Coturnix japonica: one gene and its partner. The protein of the gene in region 1 purifies or fractionates together with the protein of each later gene. This does not show direct contact. Links are inferred from orthologs where the notes say so. Each region holds a gene or a part of one and is shown in the gene's direction. Other genes may lie near its edges. The genes, in order: SRSF11 and RNPS1.

Evidence for each region.
Region 2: the proteins of SRSF11 (region 1) and RNPS1 purify together in Homo sapiens (co-immunoprecipitation; 4 studies listed by BioGRID and IntAct, with this or other methods). This does not show direct contact. The link is inferred for Coturnix japonica from reciprocal best matches to the Homo sapiens genes SRSF11 and RNPS1.

Annotation. Positions count from the first base shown.
Region 1 is NC_029523.1:26,137,150-26,146,137, forward strand, and holds part of SRSF11 (serine/arginine-rich splicing factor 11), read left to right. Parts: intron 1-851; coding exon 852-985; exon of another isoform or gene 986-4,887; coding exon of another isoform or gene 4,888-4,909; coding exon 4,910-5,019; intron 5,020-5,867; coding exon 5,868-5,960; intron 5,961-7,190; coding exon 7,191-7,240; intron 7,241-8,421; coding exon 8,422-8,549; intron 8,550-8,988. UniProt on the Homo sapiens protein: May function in pre-mRNA splicing.
Region 2 is NC_029529.1:12,005,958-12,015,436, reverse strand, and holds RNPS1 (RNA-binding protein with serine-rich domain 1), read left to right. Parts: upstream 1-2,488; 5' UTR 2,489-2,671; coding exon 2,672-2,673; intron 2,674-5,327; coding exon 5,328-5,483; intron 5,484-5,759; coding exon 5,760-5,951; intron 5,952-6,182; coding exon 6,183-6,285; intron 6,286-7,071; coding exon 7,072-7,225; intron 7,226-7,663; coding exon 7,664-7,805; intron 7,806-8,445; coding exon 8,446-8,551; 3' UTR 8,552-8,979; downstream 8,980-9,479. UniProt on the Homo sapiens protein: Part of pre- and post-splicing multiprotein mRNP complexes. Auxiliary component of the splicing-dependent multiprotein exon junction complex (EJC) deposited at splice junction on mRNAs.

The DNA of each region.
Region 1 (8,988 bases):
TCTTTCTGTTGTCACCATTTTCGCCCAGGGGCTTTCACAGCCTACCATGCTTTCTTATCCCTGTAGGAGGTAAATGATTCTGGTCTTTAAATGGAGTCAAAGTTTCCACGTTCTCTTCTGATTTTCCATAGCTGAGGGTTTGTGCACAGTCCTGCTGAGGTGCTCACTCTGAGCTGTGCAGTGGGCAGGGGCCTGTCTTGCTGAGAGGCTGATGGTACAGGTTGGTTCTCCAGGAACTCTTGGCCCTTTAGTGTGATTTCAGCTGTAGCATTGCCCAAATGACATTCCTGTATCTGGGCTTTGTTCTGGTACTGTTGAGTAATGCATGTTCTGAGCTGCCTACCTCCCTCTGAAGGGAGCCGGGTGGTTTCTGTGCATGCATTTGGCCACAAGAAGAAGCACAGTGAAGTTTGGGCTAGAAGCATTTATGAAATAGTGTTAAGAAGTAAAATAATCATGTTTTAATCATTCTCCTCTTCATAGTTTACTTCAGAAATGCAATCTGGGTGCTAAAGCAGAGAGTACACAGCTCCCATTCCTGAGAACTTCACTAGCATAATCCGTAAGATAGCTCTGTTTTCCTTGAATAAAGCATTTGTCTCCTTCTTCTCTTACAGATAAGTGATGAAAACTAATCTGCATTTAGGCAACTGGCCGTAGCTATACCCTGCATGATGGAATTCATCTTCAGTTGCAAACAAGGCAGTCGAATTATTTCTGTAATTTTATAGGAGAGTGTCTTCACTCGTAATTTCTTGACTTTGTGGTTTGGTGAAAGGCAACACAGGGAGCCATAACGTCTCATCGCGTCTGATTTTGTTGCATCTCATTAATTTCTCCTTCTTTTCCAGTGATTCTCCCTTGCCCGTGTCATCACGTGTGTGTTTTGTAAAGTTCCACGAGCCCGACTCGGCGGTTGTGGCCCAGCACCTGACAAACACTGTGTTCGTTGACAGAGCCTTGATAGTGGTTCCATATGCAGAAGGTTTGTGAATTGTTTAATGGTCTATGCAGCCAGCATATGATGACATTTTATTCCAATGTAGTTCACAAAAATGAGCATTAGTAAGATGTCAAACGTATGACTATTAACATTTAAAAACCCTTGGTATATTGCAATTGGCTCTTGGATTAAGTACTGCTTTTATTTAGTGATGCTGAATGAAAATGGGAAGCTTACCTCTTACTGCTTTTGTGTTTCTTAAGTTTAGAATATTAGCAGTTTAGGCAGAGTTACTTGCAAATTATGCTCTTTATTGATGTCAGTGAGACATTTTCTTAAATGGAGCTCTGCAAACAGGTCAATGCTGTAAGGAAATTTTCCCTTAAGTAGCATTTACATCATTCACGTGTGCATGAATCTCTTCATGAGAATGGTTTCTCCCTCCCTGAGAGCACACGGGAGAGTAGGTTAACGCCTCTTTGATATTCGCTGCCTTGCACTCAGTGGGGAGCTTCCCTGAAAAGCCATTCATTCACTCTCATTGTGAACTCCAGTATACCAAGGGTTTCAGTAGATGTAATTTGAAAGTGAGCTCTTCCAAGAGGTGCCAGATGGGCACTGGTACTAGCAGTTATTCCAAGTTTTCTTGTTCAGCCATGCTTTATTTTAATAGAATTTCACTAAATAATAAACTCTTCTCTCTGTTATTTGTGTGTGTGATTTTTGTAGTGGAGAAGGCAAATGCAAAGCCCTTCCTGATGACTGAAAAACAGTGGGTCCTCTGCAGCTACAGGGGATTCTAGACATTAACTAAAGGCCAGCAAGCACTCAAGTCCCCAAGTGTTTTCCTGGTGTAACCACTTGTTAACTACATTTTCTCTTCTTCTTTTTATTTTTACATTTTAGGGTGTTACAGTAATTTGAAAGGCAATGAGCAGGGTTTTTGGAACTTAAAAACTGTGCTGAGAAGACACCTCTTCTTGCAGAAGTCTTATTAAACTCTTCTAGACTTGCTTTAGAAGTAATTGATTTCCATTGTACTGTTTTCTTGTACTGATTTACTTCTGAAATGATGGGTTTTCCCAAATGGCTTGAATTAAGTACCACCCCTGCAGATGAAGTCATACTACAATAACGAATTTGGTGCGTGGTCTGGGTTCAGACCTTTTATTAAGACATTATAATGCTACAAGGATGTCTTTGGAAGCCTGGGGAACTGTCTTATCTTTGTATTCCTGCAGTTTAAGAGATATGGAAACTTAATTTCTGGAAGGTAGGAATCTGCAGCGTGACCTTTGACTGGGACATGCTGCTGTGGGGGGACTACAGAGCACGTTCAGAAATGTGGAGTTACTGCTTCCCCTTTCCCTACTGCAGTTATTACAGGGTAGTGGAAAGGCATCTTATTCTCCTCCTTATATTAAAGCATGACATAGTAACAGTCCATCAGTCAATACTGAAACATTCTCCGAGGCCCATGCTGACAGATGTCAGTGTTTAGTTTTTCCAATAAGGATTAAAAGAATATTCTTTGTCAGTCTGACTTGTCCATTCTGGATAAAACTGGTGCATAAAAACTCTGCCCAGTGGTTTCAGTTCAGATTGTCTAAAGATAATGTTAATGACATCATTGTATTTTAATGGGCCTGTTTAAGTCACAGAGTTCCTTATGGGCTGTTTCTTATGGTATTACAGTGATTCAGAGTGTGAACAGTTCTGTCATAATGATGTGGCCTATCCCCAGCCACGTGTTCAGCCAATGAAGCTCTGCCCCTGGTCCCTGTATGGGAGCATCCTTACCTCTAATTTCGTGCTGCCGGGGTCCCAATTCAACAAGTTACTTAAGCACCGTACAGCGAGATTCTTAAAACCGCAGTGAATTTGTTCATGTGCTTAAAGTCAGGCAGATGCTTAATTACTGTGCTGAACTGGGCCCTCACCTCTCTTGTTTTCTGCTGTGATAATTCTGTTTTATTATTGCCTGTCGCTAAAGTGAATGTTTATTATCTGTCTAGCGCAATAATTATCCCATATATCACAAGTGCACTCCAGGTTTAGCACACACAGACACTTTGGTGTTGGCTGTTGCTTTGTGTTATAGAGCTATACACAAAGTCTACGGTAAGGTTTAGTATTCATTGTAATTTTCACTGTGATATTCCTAGATTTGGAAGGAGCTCTAAGATTAAAGGTGGCTGGGGGGGTATTTAGGTTCTTTGGTTAATGTTTGTTTCTTTTGTCTGTTTCTTTTTCTTTCATTTCTACATATTCATACAGTATTTCATGGTTCTAACAAAGCAGCAGTAAAAAAAGCTCTTGAAGCATGAAAATTAACTGGTGAGGGGCCTCATTGCTTTTTTCACTTGTAGTTTATTTATTTCTAAATACCTTTTAAAGAAACGAGTAGAGCATCAGATGCATGATTTTTTTTAATGAATGCAGATCTCCTGTGAGGTGTCTGGAGATGAGTGAGGGTTTGCGTTTAGCTGCCGGAAATGTCGTAGCTGCACTAATTTGAAATGTTTAGCTGTAATTGATAAATATCCTCTCAGACATAATTTTGCATGCAAAATTACCCCGTAATCTCTCTGTAGGTATGTTAATATATTTATGCGTTAATGCCCTTTATCTAAATGACCTTTTTCCCCTCCTCTCCCTCCATAACTTTTGGTATCTAAATTGATGGCAGCTCAATGACACGAGCGAGATAACAGTGCTGTGTGTTGTACATTTGTTTATATTATCGGCACTTCTCAGTATAGGTGGAAGGAACCATTACCTTTATTTAACAGTGGTTTTTCTTTTTTGTTGTTGTGTTTTACAGTTCTTTTCCCTGGTTCAGCCTGAACTATATACCAGGCCCTGCTGAAAATACCACCCAACAGTTTTCTTCTGCAGCTTATCCAGTTTCTCTTAAGTGCCCTGTACATATTGTATGTTTTATGATGAGATGCAGTTTCTTAATACGTATTGCAGAAACGCTACTGGTATTTGCAAATATTTAGTAAAATTGTTTTATTGAACTCTCATTTTGGGGGCTTGGGCACATTAACAAATTAATCCATCTGTATAGGGCTTTTGCTGTTGGATAGAAGTAAAAAACACCTACACAAGTACTTGTTTTGCGCTAGGACCCTTCAAATTATCTGTGCAGAGCAGGCAGTAAATAAGACGCTTGTCTTAGTTGGCTGCAAGATTTGGGGCCAGAAGTTTCTTCCGTAGCAGCATTCTTGGTACATAAGCATGGCACATATCGGAACATAAGCATTTTACTGCACAGGTAAGGAATGTGCCACGACGTACTGTACGTATGCAGACACACACAGCTTGTATTGGAAGACCTGCAGAGTCTGTCGTTTTTATCTGACAAGTCAGCAAAAGCCCTACGCTTGATTCAGCAAAAAAATATTTCCGTACCTTCTCTTTAAGTTTTACAAATTTGCTATGGTAGGTGTAAAAGAAAACATAGTGAACTGTACCGTATTATTAACCCCTAAATCAAACTTTTTTTGTCTTGTGTATCTTGATTTTTCTGTGTGCTTTGTAGTGAAGCAGCCGACACGAGTCGTTGTTCATAAAACAGCTTTTGAAAGTTGAGAGCACACCCCTGGAGAACCGACTGTGCTTGCTTACGTTTGGTTCATGACTTAAAAATCGAGTACAGGTGATGAAATCTTGGCAGTGTTAACAAAACAGTAGTGTGTATTGTGCTATTTTTTTTTGCTCTAGATACTTAACCATTTGTAGAGAAAAAGGAACAGTCAAATTTTCACGCATTGAAGTTTCATTCTGACAAAAAAAAAATTAATGATAAATATTAATAGCCATCAAGCTTTGTATTTTAGCAAACATAAGTACTTTCAACAAACTCAGGTGGTGTATCAGGGAGACATTTTCTTGGGTGTATTTGTGTATTTTCTGCTTTAGAAAAAGAATGCGTTCTAATGCCAGGCTATTTCTCTGCAGGAGTCATTCCTGATGAGACTAAGGCTTTGTCTCTCTTGGCACCAGCCAATGCTGTGGCAGGTCTGCTGCCTGGAGGTGGACTCCTGCCTACTCCCAACCCACTTTCTCAGGTAGGTTTTCTGCTTGGGCTGGATGAAGGGAACCCAATGCTGGGTGCTCAGTTGCTTCCTGCTTGGTCGGTCGGTTGGTTTCCAGAGGAACCTGCTGGCATGCTGATGTTGAGGCAGGGAGTGTTGTACTTTGGATACCTCCATGGATAGTATTGTTGCAGCCCTCTGATACAGTTTTTGTTGGAAGGATGGTGAGTTGTTAGGAGGAGTACTTCTGCTGTGCCACTTACGGCCTTTCCCCTCAGATCCCTTTTCTCTCCATTGAATGCTTACCAACAGATCTGACAAGGAGGAGGGATCTTACAGACAGAGTCTAAATTCCTGAATGCCAAGAAATTGATGAGCTGTGGAGAAATAACTTCAGTAATATTACAGCTGAGGGGGGGGAAAAGTTACAGCGTGTATTTGCTCTTTAAACACACAGAAAATCATGTGGAAAATGAATGGCAAAAAAAGTGTGTTACAGAAAAATATAAGTTCAAAACACATCTTATTAGAGCTCAGAATCAAAGTGCAGGAGGCAAATCAGTAAGAGTCTGGCTTCATTAGCTCTGCATATCTCAGATCTATCTCAGATCTGCTTCTTCAGCTTCTGCTTAGCACTCCTGCATGTAACTCGTGTTATTCCTATATGAAAGATGTATTGAGCTGTTCAGAAGCTGTAGAGCTGAGCCTTGAAACCTGGGGGAAGTTACAGAAGGTGAGGTCACTGGCTTAGAAACTTGGAGTGAGTTTTCCTGGTAACTCCTGGCAGAGTCTCATTTTAGAATGCTTACAGAACGCTTGGAGACTCTGAACAGTTTTTGTCAGTTGAATGTTGCTTTGGCTCATTGCTGTCTTTGTTACAGATTGGTGCTGTTCCTTTAGCTGCTCTCGGAGCTCCTGCTCTCGATCCTGCCCTTGCTGCTCTTGGGCTTCCTGGAGCAAACTTAAACTCTCAGGTGTGTCACAGCGTTCTGTGTTGTCCCACACGTGTTGATGGGTAAGACTGGTGCTGTTCTTAGGTTTCAGCACTGGATTAAATAACGAGCTGAAGATCTGGAGTTTGCTCTTTATTTTTGTTGCCCTCTTCTCCAGTGAAGAGCAGTTCTCAGTTATATCAGTCCAGCTGACTAAAAATCCCGTGACTGATTTTTCTGAGCACTCTTCAGAATAGTTGCTCTCTGTAGCACTTCTCAGTTAATGCCAGAAGAACCTACAAATAGTTGGAGACTAACAGTGGAGTGCCTTAAGTGCCTCTGAATCTCTTATGGCAGATCAACAGTTAAAAAGTGATGGTTGTCTCCTTAATTGTGTACTTGTAGGAAACACCAAGACTTGGTTTGATTGTAGGTTTGTAAAACTGGGGGGGGGAAGAGCTCAAATACTGAGAAATAGTGAGTAGAACACTGAGTTAATGTCTGAGGTATAAGAGCCATATACTGCAGGGAGGGCTTAATCTGTAGATGGAAGAAGCATTAATTTATCGCAGTGCTAAGGAGATTCCTCACCCAGCATTCTATTTATGCATGCCATGTGTGGGAGCAAAAGCAAACAATGCTGATATGGAGATGAAAGTAGGAAAAATAAGCATTTAAAAATCTCCTGTGTCCATTAAGCCAGTTGGACTGCAATGGCTGCCTCTCTGTGCATGAGATTGCTGGAAACAAAAGGTTTTGCTTTGTTAACATACTGCTGCTTCAGGAGGTGGCCCGAGGTGGCAATATCTGGATTTACTGAAGAGCTGTAAAAAGAACTTTCTGCAATTCTTTGAGTAAAGAAACTTTGCTTGTTTTTTAAGTTGACACTGAGAACTTCTGAAGGGCATGTGTCCAAGTAAGTCTCTGTTCTTGAAGTAACAGTGAACTAATCTGTAAATACAAGAGGTACGTTCATTTTCATTGGGAAGTGCTTTGAGTCTGTCCAGGAGAGGCTGTTTGGTCCCTGGGGAGGAAAAAGAATAAAATGCTTCAGCATCCCTGAAATGTGCTGACAGGCAACTCATCCCCACCCCCACCTGCAGGCTCTGAAACAGGATGGTGTATCTTCTTGTCTGTAACTTGCTGGGGGGGTTTTCCTTGACAGAGACTGCTTTAGTTACTGCCACTGGTACACTGAGCATCTGAAGCATGTGCCTCTTCCAACATGATTTTAACTTCTTTTCCTTCCCTTCCCCCCCTTCTCCCCCCCAGTCTCTTGCAGCGGATCAGCTACTCAAACTGATGAGCACAGTGGATCCAAAGTAAGTTTTGTTGTTTACAAGTAATTGAACACTTATTTTGGAGAGTGATGTCAGTGATTCAGAATCCCATCTTTGTTCTACGGGGTCTAATTAAGGTTGGAGAAACTTCATGTTGTGGGGGTCACTGCTGATTCTGTCTGCTCTGCTGGGAAGAGAGGACAGGAAACTAAGATTATCTGCTCTGATCTATGGAATAACCATAATAATGATTGTATGTATAAAATAACCGGTGAATCTCTGAGATTTCATGTTGCTAGAGACAGAAAGTTTCATGTATGTAATTTTGGTCACTCCCATGTCTGTAATGTAATAGCGCAGCTTGCAGCCAGAGCCCTTGGGAGCATTAAGGGCTGCGAGTGAGCCAAGGTGAGCAATTACTATACATGGCCATAGTAACAGGCTGCACGTTACAGCTTCAGAAGTAATAACAGCCAGCAGATTTGTTACTTGATAAGAAAAAACAAATAACGATGAACACAAATATTTGCTGATTTTTATTTCGGTGGTTAGAAAAAAAATGACTTTCTCTAAAATAACGTGGCACGTGAACAGCAATAGGGAAGGGTTGCTTTTAACTTAAGTCAAAACTGTCCAACCTACCCCAGTGGGCAAAGCTGTGCGTGTTCTATCCTCAGTTTTAGTATTACTTTGGCATGCGATTCTTTATTTTAAACCAGGTGAACAAAGTAGTCATTGTAGGTAAGGGATGCATTGTGTGTGGTACACCTGGCTGGCTTTAAAGCAACTTCTGGGATGGAACTTCTGAACCTTAATTTTCATCACTGTGGGCTTCTGAATCTGGCTTATAGAGTGGAAAGTGATTTTCTGCCAGGTAATGTGTTGTAGCTGATCTTTCAGGTGGTGAGAACTGAAATACAGCTGTACAAAAATGTACTGAGATGCATCATCAGAAACCCACACGAGACAATACAAACTCATTACTTATAGCTAACTGGAATTTTAAGAGCTTTCTACCACTGCCTCCATCCCAGACTTGCTGCGCTGTAGAATTTTTCATCGCAGACCTGTTTCTCTGTTACCTGAATGGTGCCAACCTGCAGGCAGGTTGTGCTTCATTTGGATCAGTCATTTTTGGACAGGCTGCAAACTGGCAGTGCAGGCTTCTGTGTTTTGGGTATATGAACACACTGAATACGTCAGTTGCTGTTTTTATTTTCCAGGCTGAACCACGTAGCTGCAGGTCTTGTTTCACCAAGCCTGAAATCAGATACCTCCAGTAAAGAAATAGAAGAAGCTATGAAAAGAGTACGAGAAGCACAGTCGTTAATTTCTGCTGCTATCGAGCCAGGTAATTCTCAGTCGCAGAATCCTTCATTCACGGTGGTGGTTTGACATCGTCTCTGCCTGCTCTGAGTTTAATGATTTCATCTTCCCTGGTGGCTGAATTCATAATTCACAAGTGTGAACAAATTGATGGCACAGCTGTCTGTGCTGCAGTTGTCCTGCAGATGCAAGGAGACTTGACCTCAGATTATTGTGTTTCCTCCTGGCAATTGTTTCCTGTCTTTTAAGTCCCGACCTGTGAAATAACTCTTGTTTTTCCCCCCTTTTTTGTGTGGTTTAGTTTTGCAGGTATGAATTCCGGAGTGTTGCAGCAGTTCATGCACAAATGTTGTATCCAGTCAGTCTGAGAAGTAACCTGGAACAGATTGAAAGCAATCTGAGAGGTTCCTTAGCCTTCATAGCCGAGCAGAAGGGATTGTAGCACAGCTTCTCCTTGCCTCCCA
Region 2 (9,479 bases), on another chromosome or scaffold:
AGTCCAGCCTCACTCTCTCTCCTTCTGTTCCCCAACAGCTCCGGTTTCCATGGCGTGTGGTGGCAGCTTGCAGAACTTAGCAGCATTGCAGCCTTCCTGGAGGAGACCTGGAGTGAATCAAGGGGTTTGGTGGGGGAGGGAGGGGTCAGGGCATCTTTATGGCATACCCGGGTGAGGGGAGGAGGAATACTCAACATTGCAGTTCCACTTTAGATAGGGCAAAGAGCTTGCCCTGTGCTGAGGCCAGGTCAGGTACGTTTGTTGTTTCTTGAGAATAAACACTCCATCTTGTTTGTAGAGCTGCAGTGTTGATCTAATCAGGAATTCACTGGCAGCATCCAGCACAGCTGCTGGGGCTGGCAGGCATTGCCCTGCACCAAGAGAAAAAAGCAATGCCTAAAAACAGAAGGCAGAATCTCAAGAAGCACCAAATGATTTGGCCTGGCCAGTTTCTTTTTGACTTAGGCACTGCAATAAGTGCCTGTTTCGGGTACCTTGCAGAATGCAAAGCTATTCCAGGACCTGAGGACATCGATAGCTGGCAGCTGCCTGGCTTGACCCTTCTGGCTGAACTGAGATGGGGTTTGCACACACACTGACACCGGGGGCTGGCAGCACGTAGCTCCATCAGGGGGTGCCGGGCAGAAGCTGTTGCCTGCTGCTTCAGTTCAATATCTGCAGATTCAGAGAGGAGCCAGTGAGTGTTGGGGCTTTGGAGGGTTTTCCCTCTCCAAAGCCCTCTCCCATATGGCAGAACTTGAAAGTCAGAGAAGTTGGATGTGACCAGTGACACTGGGAGACAATGACAGAGGCTCAGTGGGGAAGAAGAGTAAACAGTAGGTAGAAATGCTTTGGGTGCTGATCTGTAACCCACTAAACCCCATCCACTGGCTTTTCAGTCCCTTCTTTGCAATGTAAAGGCTGCCCCGAAGGCCTTGCAGCGCTCCCTCATCTGCTGCGAGTGCTTAACATCCTTGTGCTTCAGTCCCTGTGATATTTAGTAATTTAGTCTGCCAGGAAAAATAGAAAAAAACACCCCTACAGATCTCACAGTTGACAGCCATTCCAGCCAGCAATGGGGGAAGGAAAAAAGCTGAAGTGGACAAATAGTGAGGATTTCCTCGGGATTCATCTAGAATGGATGCAGATGAGCAGCATAAAGGTGCTGGAAATAGCCTCTAAGCAGACAATGGCTGCCAGGGTCGCCCTGTGAGTGGTGCTGCCCTTCCAGGCAGACTCCTGGCAGCACACACAGCCTGCAGCTCCTGTAGCTCTGCCCCAGCTCACCCAGTCTTCCTAAGGCCCAACATTTAATCCTAAGGGTGGGAAGCGTGTCCTCACTGGGGCTGCAAACTCCAGCCTGAATACTTCACCTTGCCCCTCGGATGAGCACATAACCCCTCACCCAAGCAGCAAATGCCTGACATCTCTCAGCCTACAAGGGACAGGCCAGCAGCCCTGAAAGCGCTTTGCTGGAAGCAGCACGGAAGTCTCCAGCTTCAGGAGGGCAGTGCATGTTAGACTTGCTTGCGGAAGTAGCTTTAGAAGCAGCACACGCAGCAGCCTGCGCTGTAGAAGTAGCAGTAAAATGAAAAGATCCTGTGAACACAGGGAGGAGCTCAGAGATGCCTCTGCTGCAGCACATACACGGCTGAGCACAGCTCAGCACAGCTGGGTGCTGGCACAGGCTGGGGACAGCCAACAACCTCACACCTCCCATGGCCATCCAGGCACCGGCAGTTGGGTACCCTGGCCTTGCTTCAGGGTGCCTGGAAGTCTTCCCAAGGCAGCCTCCAGCAGCACGTGTCTGTGTGCACAGCAGAGTCAGCCCGTTCCTTGTATGAACCATGCGTGATCGGAGCAAAACCAATAAACACTGAGCTCTTAGTGCCTCCTGCCTGCTGGAACTGCTGACCTGAGCCTCTGTGCTTCACCTCCCCACGTCCCCTCCCACTCATTCCATGTCCCTGGTGGCACCTTGGCCGCCTCCACGCAGCCTTGGCTGCGCACAGTGCCCATGTCACCAGTGGGACGTGGTGCAGTGTCTGTCACCTCAGCCATGATGTGGAATTACCAACAGCAACAAGTACAAAACCACGACACCCCCCAAAGCAGTGGGAGCTCAAAGCTTTCCCCTCGTGCTGTGGCCCATTAAACATCATTAACTATGAGCGTAAATCCGCTTCTCCCACCCCAGTGTCATCCCCAGAAGCGCTGGCACTTGGTCTGCTGTCCCATGCAGCATCTCAGCTGAACCTCCATCTGTTGTATTCTCTGGGGGGCTGGTGGCCATTCCAAAGCTGCACCCACACCCACTGAGATCTTATTTCCTTTAAGAGCCAGTTCAGCCCTTGCTGTGCTCTGCTGGAGCAATAGGGAAAGGCTCACGTCCAGCTGCTGACACTGAGAGCCAGCTATGCATTGGGAAGGTCACCATTCGTCAGGAGCCATCACGGACATGATGAGGCGGACATGGCGGTGCCCATAACGGCACGGGCCGCCCACAGACCGTGACAGCAGGACAACATGGATCCCCTGCCCGGCCCCTTTAAGGCGCCCACCTCCCCTCCTCCCCCCTGGTGACGTCATCACTGCTCGCCACACGTTCGCTCTTCCCGCTCGTTCTGCGCCAATCGCGCGCGCCGGGCCCGGAGCGCTGAGAGCGCCGAGGATGTGAGTGTGTTGGGGCTGAGCGCCGTGCGGCCATCGGCCGCCATCGGCCTTTCATCCGCCTCCATCCGCCTCCATCCGCCCCGCCGCCGCTTCGGGGCGGCACCGCCGCATCTCGGGGCTGCCCAGGGGAGCGGGCGGGAGCCGACGGAGGGGATATGGATGGACGCGGGGGATAGGGATGGCGCCGCGGCCTACCGGGGGCGGGGAGGAAGGCGGGAGGCCGGGCCGGGGCGGAGCCGGGGCTGAGGCCTGCAGCGGAGTTGGGGCCTGGTGGTCCCGGCGCCCGGCAGCGGCAGAGCAGCGAGTCGGGAGCGACCCGCGGGTCTCGCTGTGCCCGGCGTCGTTCCGCAGCCTGAGAGCGGCTGAGCCCCGGCCGCTCTGGGCCCCGCGCTGCCATGAGCTGGGCCGGGGGCGTTGAGAGGAGCTGCCGAGCGGGCTGACCTTAAATCACGCGAGGAAAACTTTGCTATAGTTGTTGTTCATATAACTATAAACAAGCTGCCGTTGCAGGGCGCGCCTGCCCTGCAGGAAGGCTGAGGGAGAGCCCAGGTCGTTGCCTTGGCTGCAGCTCTCTGTAAGAATAGGTCTCATAGCTGACTGTGTGCAGGGAATGGGCAGCTTAATAGAGTGCCCCGAGGCCGGCTGGGCTGGGCTGGGTGCTGCACAGACACTGAGATGTTGGGGATGTCGGGTTTGGTTTCCATTCTTGGAAGGGTGGATGTTGCTTAGAAGTTCCTTGTGTTGTTTTAATGTGCTCATGCTGCGGTGTTATTCTTTATGGAGGTGTGTTTTAGTGAATGCCTGAGCACCTACAAGTGAAAGTGCCCAGAGGCTGCATCTCCCAGGCTGATCTTTCCAACTAAAACTGTCCTGGGAAAGGTCTGTGTTCATTGGGTGAAAGAAGAACACTGGTTACCTTAAGGGCTGCCTAAAAGCAGCCTTTCACAGGAGGTTGCTGGATGTGTAAGCAGCATTTGGCTGTTTAGTCTGGTAAGTGCCAGCCCTGTGGGTGCACACAGGAGTGCTGCTGATGGTGCTGTTTACATGCAGCTCTTCCCAGCTCTCCAGCAGCAGGCAGGACATTAGCAAAGCACTTGTTGGGCTTCTGAGCTCTCACTTCCCATCTTGCAGAGAGGTGGAACTGGGTGATCATTAGAGTATGTGATAGATGCAGCCCTCTCATAGGAAATGTTTGGAATTGAGCTGTCAGAGTTCAGGTTTTACATGTAAACAGTTAATAGTTACACATGCAGCACACTGGCACACACGTTCATTCTCTTCCAATAACTCATTAATGTATGTTCGTGTTCCTCTGGGCATGCACAGTTACACTGAGGGTGGTTGCTGGTTGTATGCCCACTTACTTTGTCCCCATTTTTCCACCATCAGTTCCATCACTGACATTTTTGATTCACCTGGAGCTGGTTTTCCCCAATTTTGCAAACGTCCATTGCTTCTTAGGCCATAATGGGCAACTTCCAAAACAACGTGTGTGGAAATCCAAGGAAAGCGTCCTTGCCCCTGGTGAAATACAATGACCAGTGGTCTGTCGTGACTCCAGTGCTGCTTATGAAGGGGAATTGAGAGAAAACAAGGCTGATCACACACCAGGCAAAGCAGAAGTGGAGAGTTTTAGGACTAGTGCTCATTGATTCCTTTTGCTGAATTAATATATTGCTCCTCAAACTAATATACTGATCTCTGTTGCTCAATGAACCAGCCTATATTGTTACTCAGCAGCCATCTCTTCCTGCCAAGCATGTGCTTTGCTGCACAGGGTGACTATGGAAGAAACCAGAGCTTCCTCTGGAGATGAGGATGTTGTCAAGAGGCAGGAGCTGCATGTGTGCCGTGTGTAGGAGATGAATGTCCTCTGTGTGCCTTCAAGGGGAGCACATAGCGAGGGTCTTTTGTACTTCTGTGAATATCACAATTTGTAACTTTAAACACGCATACAGGTCTGTATTCCATGAAGGTTGAGCTGGCCCAGGGGCTGGATGTAACTGCCATGCAGTGCTGTGCCTGGCTGCAGTGCCCTGGAGAACACACTTGTCCTCTGGTGTGCTGCCACTGGTGCACAGCAGCTCTGCTCTTCTGTGTCTGTTCATCTTGTTTCTGAACACTCTTACCTTGTCACTTGGCTGCTCTGTTGCTTTCAATTAGGGGTCACTTCTCAGAAGCAAGGGGTTAGAACTGAGATTTGGCACAAGTGAGGCCTGTTTTGCTTTGGATACCTCTGAAGGGGAAACAGAGTTAATGGGAATTAAAAAGAAGAGTTTGCTGGGTCTTAAAGAAAATAACAAAAAATCCAGCACTAGGTAATCATTCCAGATTTTCAAGGCCTGCTGGAAGCGGGGATGCTGTAGGGTACTGGGGCTTTCCCAGTGAGGGTAAGGAGTTGAAAATATCTCTGTGGGTGAACTTACACATGACAGTAAGTTCTGTGTGCTGGACCTGCTGTCCGCAAAGCTGCTACTCTGCAATGTAACACATTTTCCTTTTTCCTAAAAAGCTCGAACTTACCTAATGCTTTAACTCTGCTCTTTTGGTGTCTTCAATTACATTTAAAGTTCAGTGTTTTGTGTTGCTGTTCTGTTCCTTGTTTGAGTGTGTTTTCCATATTAAACAATCCCTTCTGCCATGTATTCTTGAAGGGCTCCCTCACCAACCAAACGCAAGGATAGGTCTGAAGAGAAATCAAAGGACCGATCCAAGGACAAAGCAGCCACTAAGGAATCGGGTGAAAAGGATCGTGGTCGGGACAAGACGCGCAAAAGGCGCAGTGCTTCCAGTGGGAGTAGCAGCACCAGGTAGCTACCATTACAGGCAGTAACAAATACATGTTTTCAGAGCCACCTTTTGCTGACTTCCACACGGCTCAGATTTACACAACCTTTGAATTGCATTGGTCACAATGGAAAGATTAAAGGAAGGGGTTTTGACCGTTGTGAAGTATGGTGGAATTAGTGAGCTATGGAGAGTCGGTTTTCATTGCTGTAACTTGCAGTTGCTTTCTGTCTACCAGGAGAAGAGCTTCAGCCATTCTTTTTCTGGGTATTCCACTCATGTTTTGCTTCCTTTACCAGGTCCCGCTCCAGCTCCACTTCCAGCTCAGGATCCAGTTCCAGCACTGGTTCCAGCAGTGGCTCGAGCTCCTCTTCTGCCTCAAGCCGCTCTGGGAGCTCCAGCACCTCACGCAGTTCAAGTTCCAGCAGCTCCTCTGGATCCCCCAGTCCGTCCCGACGGAGACATGACAACAGGAGGCGGTCCCGCTCCAAGTGAGTTCATGTTGTCTTTAGGAATTCCTACAGAGCAGGTTCCTTGTGCAATACAAGGTTGTGATCAAACAGATTTTTACCAAGGATGGTCTGCATTCTCCGTAACTTAGAGATGTGAATTTTGTTAGAACAGGCATGTTTCTATTAATGGCAGTCAAAATGGATGCCAGCTTCTAGTTCTTGTCGTCTTGTTTCCCCTGAAAACTGTGAATGTTTTCATGTCCAAATCAGGTCCAAGCCACCGAAGAGAGATGAAAAGGAGCGGAAGCGGCGCAGCCCATCACCCAGACCTACAAAAGTGCACGTTGGGAGGCTCACTAGAAACGTCACCAAGGTAATGGCATGTTCTCCTGTAATGCCACGCAGGTGCACCCCTGTGGGCGTGTGTTGGTGGCTTTTTTTAAAGCCTTCAAGGTTTGTTTTGTTGCTGGTGTACTGCCAGCACATTGCTGTTGGAAATGCTTGCTTTGTGTCCAAACTGATGAGCGTGGAATGCTTCAGTAGAACTTCCTCAAGTCAAATTAACTGTGGGCTTGTGTAATTCAGTAGTGTTAAAAGTTCTGTCTGCCTTATTGGTACCCGAGAGCTCCACCTTCCTAGGAAGAAAGCTGTAGAAGTCAGTACAGCAGTAGAAATCACCTGGGAGGCATTAAGGACACCTGGGGGGTTCACCAAAAGGAGCTTCAGGAGAGCTGGACTGGCTGGAGTTGTCTTTGCTAGAATGTAGTTTAAAGGTCTGCAGAAATACAAGTTTAGGGTGCTGAAAAAATGCTATTTAAAAACACAATATTAAGAATTGCACCTTAAGACTTTCTAAGTGAGGACACAACTTCACTTTCCTAAGGTCCCCAGGAAGGTTTTTACACTAGTGCAGCTTTTGTAGCCTGTGGTGGTGTTCAGCCAGTAATTCTGTTAAGGATTAGAGTGATCTGAAGTGAAACAGACATAGATGTCAGTAGAGGATGTGGTAATCTCAGTGTCCTTTCCACACCTGATCAGTGGAATATATCTCCTGCAGGTGGCATTGATTCAAAGCTGATGTGGTGCTGTGTGCTCTGTACCAGCCAGAGCTGCTCAGTGATAGTGCTGTACATCCTTAAGTTCTGCTCTTTTTTGGCAGGATCACATCATGGAAATTTTTTCCACTTATGGAAAGATTAAAATGATTGACATGCCAGTTGACAGGCTAAATCCACACCTCTCTAAAGGCTACGCTTATGTGGAGTTTGAGAACCCAGATGATGCTGAGAAAGCCCTGAAACACATGGATGGAGGTAGGTGTCAAATGCTGCAAGGAGGCTGAGTGCTTTGAAAGAAGTTTTTGGATTTGATGTGAAAATGAGATGGAGATGATGGGCTGCCTTTTGGGGAACTGATCTGACGTGCTGTCATTCTGTTTTCAGCCCAGAGGGGCTTTTGTATGGTCTCAGGACAGGTTGAAAAGAAAATACAGAACTATTAAAATGATAGTTTTGTTTTTTTTTTCCAAACAAAATATCATTTAAATCTTTGTGAAAATCCTTCCTGATCCATGTCTGGTGGGATACTTGGTGAAGAAGTCTGGTGTGTGTGTGGTTTGGTCAGTATAACTTCAGAGTGTAGTGGAAATAGGAGCACGGGGTCGTGCTGCTTGTGTCAGAGCTGTGAATCGCTGTCACTTGGTTTGTTGGTGCTGGCAAACACTAACTTTATTTTTGTGACTTTCTGAACAGGGCAGATCGATGGGCAGGAGATCACTGCCACAGCTGTACTGGCACCACGGCCCAGACCGCCGCCTCGGCGCTTCAGCCCCCCCAGGAGGATGCTGCCCCCACCCCCCATGTGGCGCAGGTCACCCCCTCGCATGAGGAGAAGGTGAGAGCTGTGGCATTTCTTATTTCCTTCTTGTTGTAACAAGAATTTGTCATGAAGTCCCAGTGCCAGGACAGCTTCGTCTCATTGGAGTTGATTGTCCACTCCAAATGACAGTTCAAAACAAAGCAGTCACCTTCTGGGTGTCAGTTGAACTCAGATTGTTCTTAATATTCCATTCCTGGGACCTTGGTGTCACACTGGTGGCTGTACAGACTAATTGTAGCACTTTATCTTTAGAGCTGAGCTTCCTGTGAGAAGTGTCTGTGGTGCTGTGTGAGCTGTGTCAATACTGAACAATATTTCAGGAGCCAAAGTCTCAGATGAACCTTTCAGATCGAGGAGAGTCTGACTTAGAACAAACTTGTTTGTTTTGTGTGAAGCAGAAAATAAGATTCTTGTCTATTCTTTGGATATGAAGCAGCCTTTCAAGCTGTGAAGCAGAGGGTGGTAGCTAGAAAATCCCTGCTGGGATCTTGCTGTTTAAGTTGCCCTTTTGCTTCCTGCGGTTTGCTGTCTGTCGGATCTTTCACAGTGGTTTATAAGGGGGCGAAAGGAATCAATGAGCAGAGGTGGCAGGTGAGGTGACCTTCCTGGAGCTGCTCCCTGTGCCCTGACAGGAACTTTCTCCTCCTCCTGCCAGGTCTCGCTCCCCGCGCCGCAGGTCTCCTGTTCGCCGGCGCTCGCGGTCCAGGTCTCCGGGACGAAGGCGCCACCGCAGCCGCTCCAGCTCCAACTCGTCACGATAAAGCAAAAAAAGAATGGACAGCTTTTTATTTTTTAACTTAAATTCCGCGAAAATAAATATTGTACCTTTTTTATAATGGGTCTAGGAGAGGAAGGGAGAGAGGGGGAGAGAGAGGATGCAGTGGAGGTAACAGAGAGGAGACGGCAGCAGCTCCCGGCCATTGGGCAGCCTCTGCTGCGGGGCTTGGAAGTTTCCTGGCATTGAATTGGCATTATTGACAAACAGCCTCGATTTTTATGTTTTAGTTTTGTTTTTTCCCGGCTATAAACCCACCGTGTCCTGTGCTGGTTGTGCGGGGCTGCTCTGGCCCCTTTGTCCAGTGAGTTCACAATGCTTTGTGTGCTGTAAGGGTGAGCGTATCGATCTCGAGCTGTTTGGAAACGCTGCAGAACGGGACAGGGAGCCTCAGGGCTGGGACTGAGCGGCTCGAACAGATCACAAACCTGATCACAGACCTGATCCTTGAGCTGCTGCTTTATTCCCAGTCCCAAATAATGAGTCGTTTGTGCCCATTGATGTCCTGCAGTGCTCCTGGTTGATGCTGCACCCTGCTGAACGCTGCGAATCTTACCAGCGGGTTTGTAGCTGCTGCCCCACTCGGTCCCATAAGGAAACAATGCGATTGTTCTGCTTTACAAATCCCATTAGCAACTGATGGGCAACCACTGCAAGGCAGAGGGGGGGCTTGAGGCCGTGCTGCTGCCTGGGGAAAGGCAGAGAACCAACCACCTGTTGTACAGTCGATCCTATAAAGTCTTTTTGTTGTTTTTTCTTTATTTTCGTGTCGTTTTGTATGACTTTGTAGCCTTCGGGGCCGCGTTGTGTTTGTACTTGTGTAGGACGAGCGACTCGAATAAAGCAGTAGGGTTGAGAAATCGGGGCTCCTGCGCCTTTAAGAGCACAGTGGGCGGGGCTTCTTGCGGCTCCGC